Linked DNA regions of Neurospora crassa OR74A. The protein of the gene in region 1 purifies or fractionates together with the protein of each later gene. This does not show direct contact. Links are inferred from orthologs where the notes say so. Each region holds a gene or a part of one and is shown in the gene's direction. Other genes may lie near its edges.

Region 1 (5,815 bases):
TGTTGAACGGGGTCGTAACTATTGTCCGGATGCCGCCGAGCCTCGCTATGCTCCCCGCAAATGTCCGAGGATGGCGCGAAGCCGTAAGAGAGCTGTTGGCTCCGGTGGTCTTTCGCCTGGCTCGACTTCTTCTAGCTGTTTTACCTCCTTCTTCGCTTCCTCCACCAGTGCGCCCAGGTCACCCCAAATCTCGTCGTGATAGCCGGTTAACACGCGAGACCACTGATCAATCCATGTCTCCCAGCCCTCAGTCACGTCGGCCGTACCCAACAAATCTCTCGTACTTGGCGCCGTCGAAACACTGTCGAACCCCAGCAGGGAAAGTGGGATGAAGTTGAGCGCATGATCCCACGCAATAGGTGATGAGCTGCTGCCGGGATCGTCGTTCCCGAATAAAGCCTTGCGCAAGCTGGCCATGTCATCGGGCAATATTGTATTCTCCTCCGGCCCTGCGAGCTCTGCATCCAGATTCAGATCACCCCGGAGCAATGCTACAACTTCCTGGCCATCGCGCGCTTCCTGTTCGGCGACAGTGGATGCCGGAAAAGAATGAGTCCATTGGTTGTTTGTTGCTGGTACTGTCGAACTCGGAACATTGCCTCTCATATTCCACGCCCCTTCCAATACACCTGCTCCTTCGGGCGCCGTAAGAGGCTCGGTGGTGTCAAGAAAGGCGGCGAAAGAAGCCTCTTGCATCGCAACATGTCCCTGAATCTGGGCTGACCTGATGGTCTCGCCGCCATGAGAGGCAGAATGAAGCGGGGCAGAACTCTCACCCACGCGCTCGAGATTTCCCGTGGCCCTTGCCACTGTTGCCGCCGCTCGTGAGCCTTCTCCCTTCTCGCCGTTGCCTAGTCCCGAAACTGCGCCGGTCATGTTACCTTTGGAGAACAAAGCTGAAGGTAGTGATGTTGCTGACTTGGCGATGCGGGTAAGCAGATCGTCCCCGCCCCCGGTCTGCCCATTGTGGCCTATATCACCAGCACCAACTGATTCCTCCGACGTTCCAACATCCTTTCCTTTACCCTTGGTCTTTTCAGGCATTGGCACCATCTTCAACCTCACAATGAGATTGGTGGGTGCATATAAATCTAGTGATGGGCTGAGATCGATGTGTAAGCGGGAGAGTTGAGTTACAAGAGCCGTACCGATGAGATGATAATAAGAAGGAAGAGATGGAGAGACATCAAGGACCGGCAACGTGCTGCCCAACATCAATAGGTGGGGGCCCTATGACCTGTCAAAAATCCAAGAAGACGAAGGATGCCGTGGCCAGGTCCGAGCAATGATGCGGACCGGGGGAGGGTGGATATCATGTAACTTATATAGTCCCGGCTCCCCGGCAGATCCGCAACGTCAGACCTAGACCCCGAAGTTTCAAGGCGGGCCAGTACACCACACGTGCTTTTTTGGGGTGATTCATGCAGCATGTGCGTTTCGACATGGCCGTGAGGCTACAGCAGCGTCTGGGGAGTTTAGACTCCTCACCTTGAATGACATCTATCATGTAACAGGGATATCAGACCTGCCAAACTTTTCCGTCCAGTCGCGAACTAGACAGTCCTGGCATGTCTGATGGAATATGTACCTGTGAACAAAAGACGGAAGCTGAAAGAGCTGCAGTTGCACCCGTGGGGGCCGTTCGATTGGATGGCAAGGCTCAAGAGATATTGAACAAAGCGACGGGACCACACGCCAACACATGCCATGGGCACAATAAAGCCATGATGCCATCATGGGATCCAGAGACGGACCTCAGCGGTGTTAAGAGGCCGGGTCATGACCATACTTTGCTATGAGCTATTGAAGACGTATGCGGACAACTTAAAGTGCGCTCTTGATCCATAGCATACGTCCAAGTTCAATAGCTAGTCAGCTGGCACAAAGCGAGTGTGCCTTTCTGGTGTAGATGCCCGTATACCATCACCCAATACCTAGCGCAGAGGTTGATACTAGGTAGGTAGGTATATACCTACGAGCCTACCTCGTAGTTGTACATGGCAGATGCCATCTCGTCGCCGCCCGGGATAAATGGACCCCGCAATTGCTCACTGGTGGAAGCTGCGCGGCCCTGGGTATTGGACGAGATCTTCCATTCACCGAGCAGGCCTGAACGGGCGGGCATGGAGGGCACGGGCTGACGGGCCCCCATGCCCCTGTGTTGAGGAGGGAGGGGCCAACCTTACCACCATACGTACCTACTTAGCATGTAGTAAAGGGTACCTCATCGCCCGCCCATCCACCCCGTGCCCACTCCGTACCTCGCTAACTAACTAGCTCGTCATTCCCTTCAATCGCCAAAGCTTAACTCCCTGGCAGGATGAGGGCGTCCTTGCTTGCTCCTTCCCACATCTCGGCCCATCTATCTCCATCTCCATCCACCATCCGTCTTTTGCTCAATCTTGCAAAGGCAACAACCTAACCCTTCACCAACAACACTTTACGCCATATCCGCATACAGCACTCGGCTTGACGTACCCCGCATCTTCACTTGGCTTTGCGCACCTGCAGCACGAACAGGAAACCGGCCCACGTCCAGAGGTAGTCAGCTCCCAGGAAGCAACGACAGATTATCGCTCGGTCGGCACCCATAGTCTTCAGTTGTCCAGGTCTCGCCGCTGCGGCAAAAAACACTCTCTCAGTTGGGTTCAGGTTCGCACCTCAATCGCTTTATCGCTGCACTACTAGGTACTTAGAGGTAGTTTTCCGTCTGGCCGTTGAGCCTCACACCCTCCATCCCGGGCCCCATCAGGTCCTCCTCCGCCCAGCTACCTAGGTACCTCGCTGCGCTACCGGCGTACCTCCGTCTGCTTCCCTTTCGTCGCCCTACGTACCTTACTACCACTCGGGTCGGGCTCTGCTTCCACCACACCCGACCGCCCACCAGCCAGGTACATTACATACCTTACCTCAACACCTACCAAGTTTGCTTATTGCTTTCCTCCCGTCTTTCCCTACCCGACCGACCCTTACCTTCATCCATACATATGCTCCCTGCAACAACATCCATAGCGCACCCACGTGTTTTAACCCGGTCTCTGTTGGGCACCTCTCTCCAGATCTCCAACTCCCGTCTCTCCGCCATCCCTTGATTTCGCGCCTCGAGCTCGTGAAATCTCTTCTTGTCCATCATCGCCCTTGGGAACGTCGTCCCTTGCCGCCGTTGCCCGTCTGTCCCTCCGTCCGCTCGTCGTCCTTGTCCCATATCTGGTAGAGGTGGGGATCTCATCGCCCACGGCCCCGGGAATCGTTGAAGATGGTGGAAACAGATACCAACTCTCCGACATGGAAGTTTACCCAGTAAGTCGAACTCCTCCTTGACCCTCCGTCATGTTTTCCATCCCCGTCGACTTCTGCCTCACGAGCGTCCGTCTCTGTGCGATTGCGCTCGTGCCTGTCCCTGTGCCCGTACCCGCGCCCGCGGCTGGATCCGATCTCCGCTCCACGTTGACCTACGCCTTTCTCCGTCAACGCTCTTCTTTATACGAGACGTCGCCTCGTTTTCCTGTGTTTGCCCCACTTCATCGTACTGAGATCTTGTCATAGATGCTTCGGCGACAAGGGAGATGTTGAGGACATCACCGAAGGTACGACCCACCCCTCCTCCCACGACGGGTCCCTCGACCAGGAGCCCGTCAATGCCCCTCCTCACGTCATCAATACCCTCAGCCATACTGACCCGCCTTTACCAGCCGATATCATCTCCACGGTAGAATTTGACCACACCGGAAACTACTTGGCGACTGGTGATAAGGGTGGACGAGTCGTGCTATTTGAACGGAACGAGACGGTTAGTGGAGTTGCGGCAAACCCCCCCTCTCCCCTTTCCCTTCCGGCTTATTTGCTGGCCCGCTTCTTGTCTATGTCTTGCTTACCTGTGGACAGAAAAAAACCTGCGAATACAAGTTTCATACCGAATTTCAGTCCCACGAGCCCGAGTTCGACTACCTCAAGTCCCTTGAAATTGAGGAAAAGATCAATAAAATCAAGTGGTGCAGGAGACAAAATGCCTCCCACTACCTCCTCTCGACAAACGATAAGACGATCAAGCTATGGAAAGTGTTCGAGAAGTCGCTTAAGGTTGTCGCCGAGAACAACCTATCCCATGATTTGACGCCTGCAAGCGTAGCCGGCGGTGGAGGCGCACCTCGTGCCTTACCTCATACTCAGTTTCGCAGTCCCGCCGATCTCAAGCTACCCAGGCTTACCCATCACGACACAGTCGTTGCCGCCGTGCCTCGGAGAACATATGCCAATGCTCATGCGTACCACATCAACAGCATTTCCGTCAACAGCGATGGCGAGACCTTCATCAGCAGTGATGATTTGCGGATCAACCTATGGAATCTGAATATCCAAGACCAGAGCTTCAACATTGTGGACATCAAGCCGGCGAACATGGAGGAATTGACAGAGGTCATTACAGCCGCAGAGTTCCACCCTCTGAGCTGCAACTGGTTCATGTATGCCAGTTCTAAGGGCACAATCAAGCTGGCAGATATGCGCGAAAGGGCGTTGTGCGACCAGCACGCAAAGAGTACGTTGGATTTCGGTGAACTGTGTTTGAAGTGTTTTTTTTTTTTTTTTTTTTTTTTTTTTTTTATCTCTATTCTCCGCTGATCATTGCTTACAATTCGTTTTTTTCTTCCCTGTATAGTGTTCGAACAAGAAGAAGACCCATCGTCCCGATCTTTCTTCTCTGAAATCATATCTTCCATCTCCGACGTTCGATTCTCCCATGACGGCCGGTATATCCTTTCTCGCGACTACTTGACGGTCAAGATTTGGGATGTCAACATGGAGCGGCAGCCAGTCAAGACGATTCCAATTCATGAACACCTCAGGCCGAGACTCTGCGACACATACGAAAATGACAGCATTTTTGACAAATTCGAGGTTGTATTCTCTGGAGACGCCAAGAACGTAATGACAGGAAGCTACAACAACAACTTCATGATCTACCCATCGGATCCCGACAAGGAGGTGGAGGTCGTCCTGCAAGCGGATAAGTCGGCGTTCAAGGCCAAGAAAGTTGGGGTGCCGACACCCATTAATTCGTCGACAAGTCCCACAGCTAACGGTGGTAAGAAGGGAAATTCACGGGCAGGAAGCCCGGCAGCGGCAGGCCAGGGCCAAAGGATGCGTAAAGAGACAGACGCCGATCAAATCGACTTCAACAAGAAGATTCTCCATATGAGCTGGCATCCGTTCGAGGACAGCATCGCCATCGCAGCAACCAACAACGTAAGTTCTTGCCCCGCTAGTTCTTAACCGCATCCTCATCTGGGCCCTATTGATAGCTAACCATCTTTCCCACAGCTATTTGTCTTTTCCGCGTTGTAGGCAGAATGATGAAGGCGGGGGGATGGATGTGATTGGGATTCCCTTCACATAACTGCTGAGGCTATTATGCCTCTCGTTCCACAGTCTGACTGGGAGCATTCGCGGTTCTGGTTTGTTCGTGCTCGATTTGTCGAGGCCTGGGGCATGGTGGCGTCTTTAGCAAGAGCGAGACGGATAGCCTGATTGAAAGATGAGGACACATATAGGTCAGGGATGCATTGAGAGGCAGGTTTGCGGGGAAATTTCCAGTCATGAAGTGCTACGCCCGGTTTGGCACATCGACTTTTCAAGATCCCATGAACAAGGCAGGGCGGGCGTGAGGAACGAAGCGGAAGTGAAACAAATGGCCCAGGGAGCCGCCAGCCTTGGACGATAAGGGGAGAGTAACTCGTATGTTAAATAACCATTATGTCCTTTTCGTTCCGTCCGCAGGGCAGAGCGCCGAGTGTCATGTCACGATGGGATGGATGTA
Region 2 (4,863 bases), on another chromosome or scaffold:
CATCGCCGGCGGTGGATATAAGTAGTCTGACCAGCAGTGCGCTGTTTGAAAAAGAGAAGGAGAAGGAACCACAGCCGGATGAAGGAATATTATCTCCAAACGGCATCCTCCCAAGCTCAGTAGACCTGGGAAGGAGAAGACGCGCCTCATCCTTCTCTACTGCAGCCCCTGCAATGACAATTCCTTCGGTCCAAGAACAATCAACTCTAAACCTCCCAGCCGCGGACGAGACCGATGAAAACGCCGCGGTCGAGGCTCAGATTCAGAAGGAGCTGAGTAATAGTATTACAACACGGCCCAGGGGTGGAAAGGGGAGGCAATCAATGAGCCGTTCCGTACCCACGATCCCAACAGAAAATTACGAGCACGAGGACGCACAACTCTCGACGAACTCAGCCTCGGTGGATCTTTACGACTTTGCTAGTTGTGCGTCTCCGGATAGCGCAGCACCCCAGCTAGAAGCGACTACCGGCGATGTTCCTGTTAATAAGAAGGCACCCAAAGGTTCAAGAAGAGCGTCCTCAGCTGCTTCGACCGAGACAACAGCAACAGCATCCGCAAAGCCAAGATCTTCCCGAAAAAGGGCTTCGATGCTGGTGCCGAAGAAAAGCTTGTGGGCTGAAGAGTTAGCGCAGGAGGAAGAGGATGAGGAAGATGTCGGCAATGACAGTGGCGGGTCCTTGTCCAAGGGGAGGGCCTCGAGGAGGAGAAGCATGATGCTTTGAATGGACCTTGGCAGAGCTGGGGAGCCTGAGATGGAATTGTTGTATAGTTGTTTCACACGGCACAGCGTAAGGCGTTTGGTGGTTTACAGGATATGGAGCTGAATCACACGTGGAACTGGACAAGAGCTCCCCCCATGACTGTACTTAACAAGCAAGCTAGCATGTTTGGATAGCTCAAACATGGAGAGGACATGACGCAAATGTATTTTATGACCTGTATAAGAATATTCCCCCTGATCAAGCATCAACAATGCGTTGCTGCGCGACCGTTAGCGCTGACAGCTGGCAGCGGATGCCACGACACTGGACGTTTCTTCCGTTCTGTTCGGCAGTCCTCTGCCCCACCTTTCAGTCCATGGTGGGGTGCCGTCCACTGGCGACGAAAGCGGCAGGGAGCTTGGTCCAGGTCGATTCCATCAACTTTTCGGAGGGGGTCCAGCATCCCACCTTGACCTACCTGAGGTTGACGCTGAAGCTGCCTGCCCGATCATTGAACTGGAGAACAGCAAACAACAACGGCGGCCATTCCTTCTCCAGATTTTTGCCAACCATCCTGCTTCCCCCCCGCGCATTCTGAAGCATCACCATCTGAAGACATAGTCTATACCTACCGTACAGCTTTCTTCTTTTCAGTCACCACTAAAGCAACCCATATAAATCAGGCACCATGCAGGCACCGGTCCTGGTAATGAGTATGTTCCAGCGCTCGAAGCTACCTCTTACCCCTTTTCGCACTGATATTGGGGATATCCTCACTTGTCAGCCGGCAGTAACCATGCAGCATACTGACTGACCTTACCTCCTACCCTTACAGACACCAACAGTGGTGAGAGGCAGACTGGCCGCAAGGCTCAGATGTCCAACATCGCCGCCGCCAAAACGTACAGTTCCCAGGCCCTTCCCCCCCTAATAGCGGATAAGACCGCCTTTCACCCCGCCATGGACCTTGACTGACCGCCCCCCCTCGGCTCGTAGTGTCGCTGATATCATCCGATCCTGCCTCGGCCCCAAGGCCATGCTCAAGATGCTTCTCGATCCCATGGGCGGTATCGTCCTCACCAACGACGGCCATGCTATTCTCCGCGAGATCGAAGTGTCGCACCCCGCAGCCAAGAGCATGATCGAGCTCAGCCGGACACAAGACGAAGAAGTTGGTGACGGTACCACAACAGTCATCATTCTTGGTAGGGAAATCTTTGGCTACAGCTGCGCCGCATACCGTTCACTGACAGGTGGTATTCACAAACAGCCGGCGAGATCCTCGCGCAATCCCTCCCCCAGCTCGAGCGCAACATCCACCCCGTCGTCATCATCTCGGCCTTCAAGCGCGCCCTCAAGGACGCCCTGCAGATCATCGAAGACATCTCGCTCCCGATCGACATCAACGATGATCAGGCCATGTACAAGCTCATCTCGTCCTCGATCGGCACCAAGTACGTTTCCCGATGGTCGGAACTCATGTGCGGGCTAGCGCTCAAGGCCGTGCGCACCGTGACGTGGGAGCAGGGTAATGGCAAGAAGGAGGTCGACATCAAGAGGTATGCGCGCGTGGAGAAGGTGCCGGGCGGCGAGATTGAGGACAGCAGGGTATTGGATGGCGTTATGCTCAACAAGGACATCACACACCCCAAGATGCGCCGCAGGATCGAGAACCCGCGCATCATCCTGCTCGACTGCCCGCTCGAGTACAAGAAGGGCGAGTCGCAGACCAACATTGAGATCACAAAGGAGGAGGACTGGAACCGCATTCTGGAGATTGAGGAGGAGCAGGTCAAGCAGATGTGCGAGCATATCCTTGCCTTTAACCCCGACCTTGTTATCACAGAGAAGGGTGTCTCTGGTGAGTTCGACTCCATAAATGGGAAGCGCGTATCACGTCGGTGGCAGGAAAGCTAACGATGATTTCACTCACAGATCTCGCACAACACTATCTCATGAAGGCCAACGTTACCGCGCTCAGACGTGTGCGCAAGACCGACAACAACAGAATTGCCAGGGCGACCGGCGCTACTATCGTCAACCGAGTAGAGGATCTCCAGGAATCCGACGTTGGCACTAACTGCGGCCTGTTTGAGGTCGAGAAGATTGGCGACGAGTACTTCACCTTCCTCACAAAGTGCAAGGACCCCAAGGCCTGCACCGTCCTTCTCCGCGGTCCCTCCAAGGACGTTCTCAACGAGATCGAGCGCAACCTGCAAGATGCCATGGGCGTGGCGCGCAACGTCATGTTCCACCCCAGGCTATCGCCCGGTGGTGGTGCGACCGAGATGGCCGTGTCCGTCAGGTTAACACAGCTCGCGAAGAGCATCGAGGGTGTCCAACAATGGCCGTACAAGGCCGTCGCCGAGGCCCTCGAGGTCATTCCCCGTACACTTGTCCAGAACGCCGGCAAGAGCCCCGTCCGTGTGCTCACCGATCTCCGCGCGAAGCATGCCGAGGGCAAGAATTCGTGGGGTATCAACGGCGATACTGGTGCCATTGTGGATATGAAGGATTACGGAGTCTGGGAGCCCGAGGCCATCAAGGTGCAGAGCATGAAGACTGCTATCGAGGTATGTTTGGACTTTTTTTGTCTTTTTTCTTGACGTTCAGTTTCGATGCTCTCTAACTGTCTACTAACCATCTATACAAACAGGCTGCCTGCCTCCTATTGAGAGTTGACGATATCTGCAGTGCCAGAAAGGCACAGCCAGGTGTCGGTGTCAGCTCTGGCGGCGGTGATGAGTAAATGTTATGAACGGTGCGGGTGGGTAGCCCAGGGTCTACTGAGTTATAGTCAGTCCGGCAAAAGGTGGTATGATATCCCGTTAATGATTCTTTGGTGGTCCACGCATAGCACCCATTGCATGAGCACCCCTTTATGTATATGCTAGATGGACCTTGGCATGGTAGATAAAAGGGGTTCTGAAAGGCCTGGTCGAGAGGTCTAATCCTTGTTCCGTAACCCCGAGCGTGATGCTGTCTATGCTTTCCCCCGTCGCTGATGGTTGCTCTACTCGCTTGGGTAAAATCAATACTGTCAACATCCCCCTTTAGTCGTCTTCAACGATAAGTAGCCCAGACTCCGCATTTCCGGGTACTACGGCCCCAGGAGCAGCCGCCGCCGTGGCCGAAGTAGACTTGTCCGCTTCCTTTGCGGTACTCTCCCCAGCGGTGTCGTTGCTAGTGGCTCCAGCTCCGGCTGCACGCTCCTTTGCGCCTCCCTCGTCCCCAGTCTTTGCAGTCTCTTTCTTCTCAGCCCCGTTTGCTGTCGTCACACTCCCTCCTTGACTTGCACTACCATTTCCACCTCCACCTCCACCTCCACCTTTGCCCCCCTTCCCTTTATTCTTCTTCTTGTCCCTCTTCTCCCGATTCCTCCTTGTCTTTTCCTCATCCGCCCTCTCCCTCTCCCTCTTCTTGGCTTCAAACTCCTCTCTCTCCTTCTCCTTCGCAACCTCCTCATCCATGATCCTCAGCCGTTCGTACTCCCTCCTCCGGGCAGCTTTATATACATGAAACTCGCCCGATCCCGCACCGGCGGAAGAACCCTGAACGTTGGTGACGATTTCCGGAGGGGGAGGTAGTCGAGAGGAGCCAGAAGTGGTGGAGGAGGGGAGCGGTGGGATGATGATTTCTCGGTCGGGTTTGGCGAAGAGTTGTTGTAGGTGGGAGGCTTGAAGGGAGGTGGGAGAGGAGGCGCGGAGACGCTTGGTGGGGCGGGAGGAGAGGCGGGAGGTGGAGGTTGGGATCGAGGAGGGGTCGTCGGCTGACATTTTTGCGCCTTTGTTTTGTGTTTTCTGTTGACAGTGGTCTGCGGTGGCGGCTGCGGCTGCGGCTGCGGTTGTGATGATGGTGGTGGTGGTGGTGGCTGTCGGGTGTTGCCTAGGTTGAGACGCGGCGGGTTGTTCTGGTTCGTGACGTTCTGAGGAGCGAGGCGCGCGCACGCCGTTGAGTTTGTTGCTCTCTTTTGTGGTGCGATTAAGCGCTGATTTGGTGATGACGGTGGGATCACTAAAGTTTGCTGTTGCAAATGCTGGAGGGCGTCGAGGCGGAGATGTGAAACTGGAGTTGAATTTCGGCCGGAGAATGAAGTCGCGACAACGGACTGGTCGATCGCAGCGATGGGGTTTGGTTCATTCCAGATCGACCAAATGCG

What was found. Proteins that work in one complex are often made in the same cells at the same time.
Region 2: the proteins of rgb-1 (region 1) and NCU01843 purify together in Saccharomyces cerevisiae (affinity purification with mass spectrometry, with the first as the bait; 3 studies listed by BioGRID). This does not show direct contact. The link is inferred for Neurospora crassa OR74A from reciprocal best matches to the Saccharomyces cerevisiae genes CDC55 and CCT3.

Annotation. Positions count from the first base shown.
Region 1 is NC_026501.1:3,523,101-3,528,915, reverse strand, and holds the start of rgb-1 (protein phosphatase PP2A regulatory subunit B), read left to right. Parts: upstream 1-2,331; 5' UTR 2,332-3,256; coding exon 3,257-3,300; intron 3,301-3,546; coding exon 3,547-3,587; intron 3,588-3,692; coding exon 3,693-3,790; intron 3,791-3,885; coding exon 3,886-4,537; intron 4,538-4,657; coding exon 4,658-5,244; intron 5,245-5,319; coding exon 5,320-5,343; 3' UTR 5,344-5,815. Other genes in the region: NCU09376 (hypothetical protein), read right to left, coding at 46-1,215.
Region 2 is NC_026502.1:2,190,346-2,195,208, reverse strand, and holds the start of NCU01843 (T-complex protein 1 subunit gamma), read left to right. Parts: upstream 1-1,157; 5' UTR 1,158-1,392; coding exon 1,393-1,417; intron 1,418-1,539; coding exon 1,540-1,606; intron 1,607-1,700; coding exon 1,701-1,909; intron 1,910-1,974; coding exon 1,975-2,565; intron 2,566-2,639; coding exon 2,640-3,277; intron 3,278-3,281; exon of another isoform or gene 3,282-3,360; coding exon 3,361-3,453; 3' UTR 3,454-3,757; coding exon of another isoform or gene 3,758-4,480; 3' UTR 4,481-4,863. Other genes in the region: NCU01842 (hypothetical protein), read left to right, coding at 1-725; NCU01844 (hypothetical protein), read right to left, coding at 3,758-4,480. UniProt on the Saccharomyces cerevisiae protein: Molecular chaperone; assists the folding of proteins upon ATP hydrolysis. Known to play a role, in vitro, in the folding of actin and tubulin. In yeast may play a role in mitotic spindle formation.